3 linked regions of the Solanum lycopersicum genome follow. The protein of the gene in region 1 interacts with the protein of each later gene in a pairwise test. Links are inferred from orthologs where the notes say so. Each region holds a gene or a part of one and is shown in the gene's direction. Other genes may lie near its edges. The genes, in order: protein SCAR2, actin-related protein 2/3 complex subunit 3 and protein BRICK 1.

The links.
Region 2: the proteins of protein SCAR2 (region 1) and actin-related protein 2/3 complex subunit 3 interact in a two-hybrid assay, tested with the Arabidopsis thaliana proteins (2 studies listed by BioGRID, with this or other methods). The link is inferred for Solanum lycopersicum from reciprocal best matches to the Arabidopsis thaliana genes SCAR2 and ARPC3.
Region 3: the proteins of protein SCAR2 (region 1) and protein BRICK 1 interact in binary tests that used the Arabidopsis thaliana proteins (3 or more experiments, as listed by UniProt). The link is inferred for Solanum lycopersicum from reciprocal best matches to the Arabidopsis thaliana genes SCAR2 and BRK1.

What each region holds. Positions count from the first base shown.
Region 1 is NC_090808.1:7,931,317-7,935,074, forward strand, and holds the start of protein SCAR2, read left to right. Parts: upstream 1-1,292; 5' UTR 1,293-1,524; coding exon 1,525-1,679; intron 1,680-2,989; coding exon 2,990-3,153; intron 3,154-3,552; coding exon 3,553-3,676; intron 3,677-3,758.
Region 2 is NC_090806.1:3,894,682-3,898,439, forward strand, and holds the start of actin-related protein 2/3 complex subunit 3, read left to right. Parts: upstream 1-1,207; 5' UTR 1,208-1,383; intron 1,384-2,219; 5' UTR 2,220-2,296; coding exon 2,297-2,299; intron 2,300-3,584; coding exon 3,585-3,693; intron 3,694-3,758. UniProt on the Arabidopsis thaliana protein: Functions as a component of the Arp2/3 complex which is involved in regulation of actin polymerization and together with an activating nucleation-promoting factor (NPF) mediates the formation of branched actin networks.
Region 3 is NC_090802.1:8,363,933-8,367,690, forward strand, and holds the start of protein BRICK 1, read left to right. Parts: upstream 1-1,341; 5' UTR 1,342-1,442; exon of another isoform or gene 1,443-1,550; 5' UTR 1,551-1,559; coding exon 1,560-1,692; intron 1,693-1,794; coding exon 1,795-1,919; 3' UTR 1,920-1,958; exon of another isoform or gene 1,959-2,151; intron 2,152-3,758. UniProt on the Arabidopsis thaliana protein: Involved in regulation of actin and microtubule organization. Part of a WAVE complex that activates the Arp2/3 complex.

The sequences.
Region 1 (3,758 bases):
GTGAATAGGTGCAGGATCCAATACAAGTGCTCTCACTGTCTCACCGTGTATTTATAATTGTTATAGTTTTTTTTTCAAGAGTTAATTTATAAATCATTTTATTAATATTTTATAATATATTTTTAAGTCATATTAATATATATAAAAATTATAATTTGTATTATTTTTTATATAATTTCTGAATATATATATTTTTATTTAAAATATAAATTTATTTAATCTTATTAATTATAAAAATTATAAATTAACTTTATAATATATGACATAATAATTAAAAGCGGACAGAAGAAGAAGTATAGAATTAAGGAGGCCCACAATGAAAGGCATGACAAGCTCAGCCGCGTTTGTCCACCGTATTTTATTTGTCTGAGTCTTTCCGAAAATTCCCAGGTTATATTTAAAAATATACACACAAGTATAAAATATGAATTAAATTATTAACACCATTTAAAAAAATATAATTAGTGAAACAAACATTTTAAGTCTCCAACCAGATATATTAAAATTAAACTGAATAGTAGTTGAAACTTTCATCTACAATCAGTAACCAAAAAAAAAGTTCATAGGTAATTTTTATCATGAAAATTGTAATTTTTATAGGTAAAGTTTGTGCTTTTATCTAATAGCTTGCACCAGATTTGGTGAATTCGAACCAAATCTCTTACTTTTGTTGAAAATAAAATTTTAAATAATACTCCACTAAATATATATAATATTCATATATGATTAAAATTTTAATATAACTAAATCGTATAATTTTCAAGCAAAAGCTTCTCCACTGGCTAACGTGTAGTTTCAGTTTATCACTATCACATGTGTATTGAAAGAATACATTTTCTTTAATTTAATATAATTGATTGTTTTGATTTTCTCTAAATTATTTTAACTATAGTGGTATAAATTCACTTTTATTCAACAATTTAAATAATGATTCAAACTAAAAAATTTAAGATAAAATATTTATATATAATTATAAATTAAAAAGTTTAAAATTTGTGATTCCTAATAATGGTAATTGATTATTTTTATAATAATATTAGTTACTTTAATTTCAACTTCAGTAATTTAATTGATGATATAAGTTGTTAAGATTAAATATTTATATAACAATAATTATGAAATTACAGGTATATCAACTTACTTTATCAGTTAAGAAATTTTTATTTGTTATTTTAAAATTGAAATCAATTAATTTACTCGATATTTATATTTCAATATTATAACCATCTAAAAAATATGTTATACAAATTGAATAATGAACAATATATAAGATAAAAGAGCAGTAGAAACGAGTATTTAATATAGTCAACCGACCCTCTTCTCTGTTGAGTCCTCACCTCTTCTTTCAACTGTACATTCACATTCGCCTCAACTCTTTCTCTCTCTATAGCTACAATTACCAACGAAGATACAGCTTTACAGAGACTCCATTGATACTCCATGTGCATGAATTCAATGGCAAAAATGTAATGTTGATATTCTGAAGAGAACGTTTGATGAATTAGGGTTTAGATTTTGTTGAAAATGCCTGTGAATAGGTATCAGATTCGGAACGAGTACAGTTTGGCTGATCCGGAACTGTACAAAGCTGCTGATAAAGATGATCCAGAAGCTCTACTTGAAGGCGTTGCCATGGCTGGACTTGTTGGTGTTTTGCGTCAGCTTGGTGACCTCGCCGAGTCAGTATCTCCTTTTTTGTTTTTCTTGCTTTTATTTTATCTGATGCGTTTTTCGTTTTCAATTGGCTGATTTTAGAATTTTGTCGTTTTACAAGTGAATGCTTTCTGGATTTTTATGTTTCAATCCACCTTTATTTTCGTAATTTTGGATCGATATAGTTAAATATGCGAGTTGAGATAATCAGTATTGAAATCTGTTGAAATTTGGTAGTTGGAAGATGCTTTGTAGTTATTGAAAATGGAAAGTTGAATTTGTGAGTCCATTATTTGAAATGTTATTTGATTGCATTGTAGATTTTCTTTTTGTTGTTTTTTTTGACAATTATTGCATTTGTATAATGTGACTACTTTTTTTTATTTGTTGCTTTTTTCGGCTGTTTGATTAAGCATTTACAAGTAGTTCTGTTCTGGGTAAATTCATACGGAGTTCCTGTTTTTTTTATTATTTTAATCTAGATTATGCTTCTTAGAAGATGAGGGAATTGAGATGGTTTGGACTTACGAAGAGGAGACGTGTAGATGCCCCAGTGAAGAGGTGTAAATAGAGGGTATGAAGAGAGGGAAGAAGTATTTGGGAAATGTGATAAGACAAGATATGCTGTAGCTTTAGGTTACCAAGGATATGACCTTAGAAAGGAGGGTGTGGAGGACATCTATTAGGGCTGAAGGTGAGTAGAGTTTACTGTTGTATTGCTTAGGATGACTGATGTTTGCCATGATACTAGTTATATTATTGTAGTTCTTGTTTTTTTTAAAAATTTTTATCATTGTTTATTGTAGTTTGCAATCTATCCTAGTATGTTATTTATTGTGTTTCGGTTATCACATTACTTAATTGTTTTTTTTGGCTCCTTTTTGGTAGACTTTGCATTGTTTCCTTGTTACCTGCTATATTCTTTTCATTGTCTCTTTCTTCTTTGTATCTGGATTTGTTGCATTTGAGCCAATGGTCTTTTGTAAACGACCTCTCTACTTCCATGAGGTAGTGGTATGGTCTGCATACGTTTATGATTTAACCTTCCCAAACCTCACTTGTACATTTAACTGGGTATGTTGTTGTTGTATGCTTGTTAAAAAATGTTCAGAGTATGTAGAGCTTAATCTATTGAGTTGCTGATCAATTAATTGTAAGGCATAAAAATTTGGTAGTATCATTAAAATGTGGTGCCAAATATGGGTCTCTTTGCTTATACACTCTCCCTGTAAGTGATTCCTGATCACTTTATTTTGTAAAGAATGTACTACAGTTGTTCTGTTTAATTGTGGTAGCGACTAAAATGTTGGTTTTCTTTTTTATTGTAAAATTGAAGGTTTGCTTCTGAGATATTCCATGACTTGCATGAAGAAGTGATGGCAACTGCTGCAAGAGGTCATAGTCTAACGGTCAGGGTCAAGCAGCTTGAAGCTGATTTTCCTTTGATTGAGAGCGCATTCCTCTCACAGACCGATCACTCTTCTTTCTTCTATAATGCTGGTAAGTGCTAAGAGTATTTCATTGGCCAATAACACCATACAAATTCTGGACAACTTAGTATACTTGCTTTTTTCGCGCACTTTGATAAACTCTTCTTGCTTCTTCTTAATTCTGTACCAAAAGATAACTGTCCTTCCTAACTGTTTTATACATGTTTGTGGTGCATGTGTGTGTGTGCAGAGAGAGAGAAAGAGAGAGGAAGAGAGAGCATAGAAAGGAATATTTGTTTTTTATTTTCCTGAACATAGAATGTGGTGTGTATGAATATTAGTGTTTCTGCATCTGAAAAAAATGGATATTAGTATTTAAGCAATTTATTGAGTTCCGATATAACCTATTAGTGAAAGTGTTCGTAATAACCTATTAGTGAAAGTGTTCGTAATACAAATGTTATTTCAGGTACTGATTGGCATCCTAATCTGCGAATCGACCAAAATATGGTTACAAGGGGAGATTTACCTCGATTTGTGATGGATTCATATGAAGAATGCAGAGGTCCACCTCGCTTGTTTCTGCTAGACAAGTATGCTCTGTTTTTGACAGCTTTAGTTGCATAGAGTGTTAAACTTTGTTAGAACAGCGTTTGTCAAACTTAATGGTATTGT
Region 2 (3,758 bases), on another chromosome or scaffold:
ATATTTAACTTATTAATTTGAATTCAATTATATAACTTTGACGTTAACATTAGCACAGATTCCCTTTCCACACTCTCCCTTTGAAATATTGAATTTTACTAGAAAAAAAAGAATGTTAAATTTGTTAATATATCAATATTTCAATTCAAAATCAACTAAAGTAATTAGAAAAAAGCTAAGCCCCAAAATTATTGCAAGTTGAACTGATTGAAATTAGAGAATTTTGTGATGGATTATTCTTAAGATTAAGAGTTAGAACAATGAAGACCACAAATTTTAAAAAAAAAGAAAAAGTAGAGAAATAATTTTTTCAAAACAATGTCATTATCAAAAGTTTTCATAGAATAGCATTATTCCTAGAATTATTCCCCTTTTAGAAATTAGGTAGTCATCATTATTATTGGTGAATTATAAAGTAGGGTATTTCAATTAGTCTATTATTAAATCTAGACTCCTTAAAAATCATATATACTTTATGGAAAAGGCGCAAATATAACGTTAAGTTTGTGATTTGAAATGGATATATTTCTTGATTAAAAAAAAATTATACATATATATTTACGTTGTTTAACAATATGATACCTGTATATTCGTGACATAAAGTATAAGGAAAGAAAAAAATGCTAGGCAAGTTTGACAAAAAGTGATGGTTAAACCTACCGTATAGTATGAGATAGAGTGTCGATTAGTCAAGAACTTTCATGTTCAAAATATGAAAGCTACGGAGATGAAATGTTTGCGATGAATGTGTGGGAATAATAATAAGACATGATTAGAAACGAGGATATTCGGAGACAAGGTGCATGAGAGTGATTTTGATGAAGGACAAGATGTAGAAAGCAAGGCTAATGTATGTAAAGAGGAGCTGCACGAATGTCCCAATATGAAGGTGTGAGAGGTTGATAATGGGCGGCCTCGAAAAGGTAGAGATAGGTCGAAGAAGTATTTGGAGAGAGGTAATTAGATAGAACATGACACATTTTCGACTTAATAAGGATACGACTTTAGATATAAGGTTTTGAAAGGCACGTATTAGGCTAAAGAAGTTAGTAGGCAGTAGTGTGTGTCGTCTTGCTATACGTCCACACTAGTAGTCCTAGCATTACTCATATAGTTTCTCGTCCTTCAATTTCTTTTATCGCTCGTTATTTCTTATACCTCAATTATCGTACTATTTTACTAAACTTCAAATTGGTTAAGAAGAGGCCCATAAACATTGAGCCCAATAATAGTTGATCGTTAAGCCCATCTTCAACTACCATCACCGTTTATACCCGATTCTCTCTTCACTTCTTCTTTGATCTTCGCCGGAAAATATCACCCATCCCTGTCGATCTCAACATCTCTCGCCGGTGAAATTAACTATCTCTTCTCGGAAATCCAGTACGTAAAATTACGATCTGTTGCATATCTTTTCGTATCTACTCTTATTATCATATGTTTAACATATTGCGTTTTTGTTGTTGAAACTGTTGCCGTGATTGTTACTACTGTGATTATAATTGCTTTTTCCAAAATGCTTTAAACTGTTTAATTGATATCGTAATTCAGTTAATATAATTCGCTTGGGAATTAGGGGAAATAGCTAGGTCGGAGATCTTGCTTATAGAATTCGGATTGAAAAAAAACTTAAAATTGGAAATGAGATGCTATATTTGTGTTTTTATGGCGATATAGGGAACTTTTTGATGTGTAACTAAAGAGGGAAAAACTGGCATTATAGTTGATGTTATGGGAAATGTAAGATAACTTACATGATTTGCTAAACCATGTTTAATCAAGGGTGAGCTAGGAATTTGAGTGTATGGATTCTAGAAAACGGTGTTTACTAAGTTATTGATAACTTATTTATGCATATTAGGTGGATTCTTAAACGCAAATACAAGATTTGAGCCGAACCTACTGGTTTTGGTCGAAGCTGTAGCTCTGCCTGTGTTTAATGGATAATTCTATAGTAGCGCAAATTAAAAAGATACGAATAGAATGGTTGGGAATGAAAGTGCATAGATGATCTGGAAATAAAAAAGGAACAAGGGGAGAGAGGACGGAAGATGTTGGACTATATGGAAGATTACCTGAATATTACTTAGATGCATAGCTAGTTATCTGATGTAGATGAAGTAATCGTAAATTTTGATGCACGTCCTCTTATATTGGAGTCATGTTAGTTGTGTTCTAATTAATCTTAGTTATCTGATACTTGATGAGTGCATCTGCAGATTGGTGTTATAGCCTCTTTGGTTCGAAATTATACATTGCCTTCTGGTGCTAAGAAGCAAAATTTTCAGCAAGGAAAATGGTAAAGAAAGCATTTTTTTGCTTACATATTTCATTACTTTGGTGACAATTATCTCTCTGAGTTGATAGTGTGATAACTTCCACGCATGATGAAAACCATGCTGTTTCTTTTCCTTTGGTGATCGACTTGGCCCTTTTCCTGGTTTGGTGCACTAAATGAGCTACATGGCTTACATTTCATGTGTTCATTCCACTATTTTGAGTTACACTTTGGTTTCTTCAAAGAGGAATAAATAAATGACAAATGTTGTATTCTGTTTTTAAAACATCTTGGCAATGAGGATCTGTTATTGGCAATATGGGATGGATTGTGGTCTTTCTTTGATCTGTACTCACTTCAAGAAGTCTATATATAGTCTAATGGTGATAAACAAGACAGTAACTGATTTAGAGTAGGGGACTTAGATATGATTTGGATACATGCATGCAGTACGGTATCTTACACACTGATTAATGGAAATAACATGATAGAAATTCCAACCAAAACTGAAGAACAGAAAAGAAAGAACCAAAAATATAAAGATTTAGAAGTAAAAAGAATTACCACCAAGGTTCAAGCTTGAAAGAATTTTGAAATTCAGTCCGGACAAAGACTGTTTGAGCCTCAGAAAGATATCAATCTCAAAATTATATCAAAACCTCTCTAAAAACGAGTTTAACCTTATGTGCAGATTATATTACCTATGTTTGAGAAAAGAATAAATTACACTAACTGAAAAGCCTCCCAATTTGTAAGACCAGTGTGTCACACATGACCGATTCCTCAAGTTCAGCCCGCTGCACTGAGTCGTAATTTCCAGCCCGCTTAACTTTTGGTGTTTGTGTTTCGGTGCAAGGCGTCCAGCCTTAGCTCCTTCTGTCCACACCCAATGCCTTAGCCGTGTGCTGGACTTTACTTTCCAGCAAGTTTTTTTTTCAGCCACTTCCAAGCACTCCTTGAACTCTCAAACATGATATGCTTTGCTCGAATCTTCGCCATGCTCTCCAAGCATCTTCTGATTATCTCTTAGAGATCTGTAACTTCTTGATGTGTAATCCTTGGATGCTCTTGGTCTTGGAGCGCCTGATGGTCCTTATGATCGTTCAGGATCTCTTCCCTAATGTGCATCTGCTATCCGGGGTTGTTTGAGGACTCTATTTTTCTTGGCGATGAATTTTCTGTATTCAACTCTAATGAATTTGTCCTTTCTATTTTATTCACTCTATTATTTTTGTTTTATAGGGTGTTTAAACCCATAACAACTTGTCCCATTGAGTGCTGAAACCTGATTTTGATTCAATTGCAGGTTTATCATTCCAGTTTCGTTGATGAGGAAGGAATTAGTAAAGCTTGTGGATGTCCTTTGTTACCTCTGAAAAGCCATATAAGGGGACCTGCTCCAGTTTCAGAACAAGGTTAGTCTTACGAGTCTTTTCCTTATTAAGAGAATGTCTCCACATTATTATGGTGATGCTGATCT
Region 3 (3,758 bases), on another chromosome or scaffold:
ATATTTTGAGGTTGATATAGTGAAAGAGACCGTTAGGAGAAGAAAAAAATATTCTTCTCCAAGCTTTTCACAATACAAAAGTGAGGCATTGTAAGTTGAAGAAATGCATATTTCTATTGATGGATATTTGAAATCTTTAACTAATTCTGAGTTGTTTAAATTATATAACATTGTTAGACTGTTGTATCGTTTAAAGAACAGGTCAAGAAATATATTATTGAATCGATGTAAATTATGTCTCAGAAACTTGAATCTCCTTAAAAAAAACAGTGAAATTTTCATAGCTCATTCTAAATATATATTTATTCAATTTATTTTTTAACTACAACTTATATATTACAATAATTTAGTCAAGAAGGTATTGAAGAGATTAAACTCCTAGTAGAATAAACTCTTGTCCTCTGGCCGGAAGATACATTCTGATAGCCCATCTTTTGCAAACTATGTATTGATAACTGAATATATTATGAATCATATTAAGACTCCAAAATATATTATGGAGTATCCACCGTAGTTAGTTATTTTTAATCTTTGATTTACAAAATCATTTGTCAATGTATATATTATCGTTGTTATTAATAGGTGCATAGGTCCATCTCCTATATTTGATGAGAATGTATATTCCTATTATAAACGTGAATTTGTTTATCGATATTCAGGTTCAAGATTAAACACTAATTTTATATGGAGATAAGTATTGAAAATTTTATTTTCTTTTTCTTTTATATATCATTTCAACTTCTTTTCGTTCGTACTTTCTTCATATTATTGATTAAATCTGAATCTTTAGTAATGACAATTTCTATTCATACTGGATCGATTTTTCAAGAAAATATTAATATCAAGATTTTATTGAACTTTCTAATCAAAATAAGTTATATGCAATTACGTAATCTGCAGATAAATAATCTCATTATATATTGATATGGGGTAAAATTCTATTGTTATAATGATTCTAATCCCTCTTGTGAACAAGAGTTAAAGTGTCACTATGAATCGGGGTGTAGTATAACTATTGTGAGGAAAATCAAATGATGTATAAGGTGAAGGGATACATTTGATTGTTAACTGCGTCATGTCATGTGTTCCTATTTGATTTTTCATTAGAGTGAAGAATATATATATATTTTAATTTTTGAATGACAAAGACATTATTCAAAAATATGACAGATTATTTATATACCATTTATAATAGTTTGAATATATTTATCATTTTTTCTCTTTTAAAATAAGTGTAAGAAACATATTTAAATTATTTTTTTTGAATTTTATATCTAAAATATTGAACATATAAGTATGATATCAATTATACGTATTTCTCAAGCCAATATGAAATTAATATTTTAAGTTAAACGTATTTTCGACATTTATATCTATCTTCTTTTTTTTTAGAAAAAAACAGATTTGCAAGTAGAGATGCTTGCCTTTGAAGAACAAAGAAGGTAATCACTATCTCCTCCATTTTCCTTTAACCTAAAACTAATCATTGCAGAATTGTTTGTTCTCCTTCCGCATCTCTCTCTCTTTCTTCTCCGTTGATCGGAAAACAGTGACCAGAAATGGCTCGAGCCGGAGGAATAACAAACGCGGTGAATGTAGGCATAGCAGTACAAGCAGATTGGGAAAATCGTGAATTCATATCTCACATCTCTCTCAACGTCCGCAAACTCTTCGATTTCCTCGTCCAATTCGGTAAATTTCTCTAACTCATTCAATATCCTTAGGGCAAATATTCGGTTTTTGTTAAATTCCTGTTGTAAAGCGATTTCGGTGTTGATTTTGTTCTACTTTCAGAGGCGACGACGAAGAGTAAATTGGCGACACTGAATGAGAAGCTTGATACACTGGAACGTCGTTTGGAACTGCTTGAAGTCCAAGTCAGTACAGCAACTGCTAATCCAGCTCTGTTTAATGTTTGACATGATGCAAGCATTGTACTAATATTCTCAATCTGTAAGGTACTTCAATTCTGTATTATAAATAGATTGCTTTGTTTTGGAGATCATATTTGTGAAAAGTCCTTGTTTTATGAAAATCTCAATCAAATGTGCCTGAATTAGTTAGGTTAGCTATATGAATTTGTGTGAGATTCGGCTCTATTCAAGTACATTATGTTCGGATAGTTAATAATCAGTTGCAATTTTGTGGAAATGATTCATGGAATTTAGTAGCTGCAAGTATGCATACCTATTGGATCTACAGTTTCTTTCATCTAAGTTTTCAGTTCGCTAAAACTACTGTGTTGGTTCATTGCTAATGCACAATGGAGATTGTCTATGTGTAAATTGGAATGATAAGTTGATTTGAGGGGTCAAAGCATTACTATAAATTCTTCAAGACCATCTTAATCTTTTGACCTAGTTAATATGAAGCAAATGTTGTTTATACCTTCTGTAATGCCGTTTTGATATTCTTGCCTGTTTTCTTCATATGGCTTCTTGGAACTTTAATCTGCTGGATCTCAGTCTCTTATTTTTCTCTGTGAGTTGGTTCTTTTCTCATGTGCGATGGAGATTTATATGTGGAAATAGGAACATTGTGCTTGTTCATTTATAAAAGTTACTTTACCTTCTCTGGGAAAAAAATGATCGTTTTACCTTCTCATTTTTTTTCTACTAACTTTTTATGTAATACAATCATGTGAAATGTCATTCTTGTAGTCAGTAACCAATCAACGATGCTTAAACTAAAACTTGTTGTGTCATCTATGTGAATCCTCTAATCCATCCTGCTTCTTTGTAATACTAAAAGAATTATCTTTTGAAGTAAATTAGAGGTTTCTAGATCATACTTGGACATGGAAGCTTTAATTAGGACTTCCTGACTTGTAGCAGTTTTTAATACATCCTTGTTTTTAATACGTCCTTCGTTCCAATTTATGTGGCGTCGTGTGACTGGCACAGAGATTAAGAAATTAAAAAGACTCTTTGAAGTTGTGGTCTAAAACAAGTCAGAGATGTGTCTAGTAGGAAATCCTCATTAAGGGTAAAATAGAAAGTTTAAGTAAGTATGACATTCTGTCTAGGACAGACTAAAGGTGAAAGTAGACACATAAATTGGGACAAAATGAATAATCGTTTTCAATACAGAGTTTAACATAATGAAAGGTTGGACATGAGAATGAAATAGCTTGCTGGCCATATACCATACAGCTATATTCCAGACTGGTTATTGTTAACATGGTTGATTTATCTATTAAGGGTTACTTGGTATTGACTGCTATTGTTTACATGTTTTTCCCTTGCCTTCTTCATACTAGCCACCAGGTTCGTAGTTTAGATTGAGCACTGTTTATTTACAAAGTTATAAGATTATATTAATGTTAAATTTGTAATGGACTTATAGCCTATAGGAGTTAAGTAATAAGTTTTAGTTCTAGTTGGAAGTTGTATTATGTGGAAGTGGACAAGTCCATTAAGAAGATCTGGCAAATGATCCAGCTCGTAATTTTTGGTGTCTATGCGCAGAAAGGAACAAAAGATGTTTTGATGGGACTTCAACTCCTCACTGCTCTCTTAAGTCCAAGTGTTTGATAAATCTCTTTAGAAAGAGCAATCTATCCCCTGTAAATGGTGTCATTCCCCTTTAGATTGTATCAGCTCCCTCTCAGTGTCTTAGCAGCCTTGAGTTCTAGTTTCTTTTATCTGAGATAATTCAACTCTTGTCAAGAAAGAAAAGAAAGAGAATCTGAGATAATTCATTCACATATTTCTCAGATCTCTCAATCCAGAAACACCTTGAATCAAGTTATTTTCTAA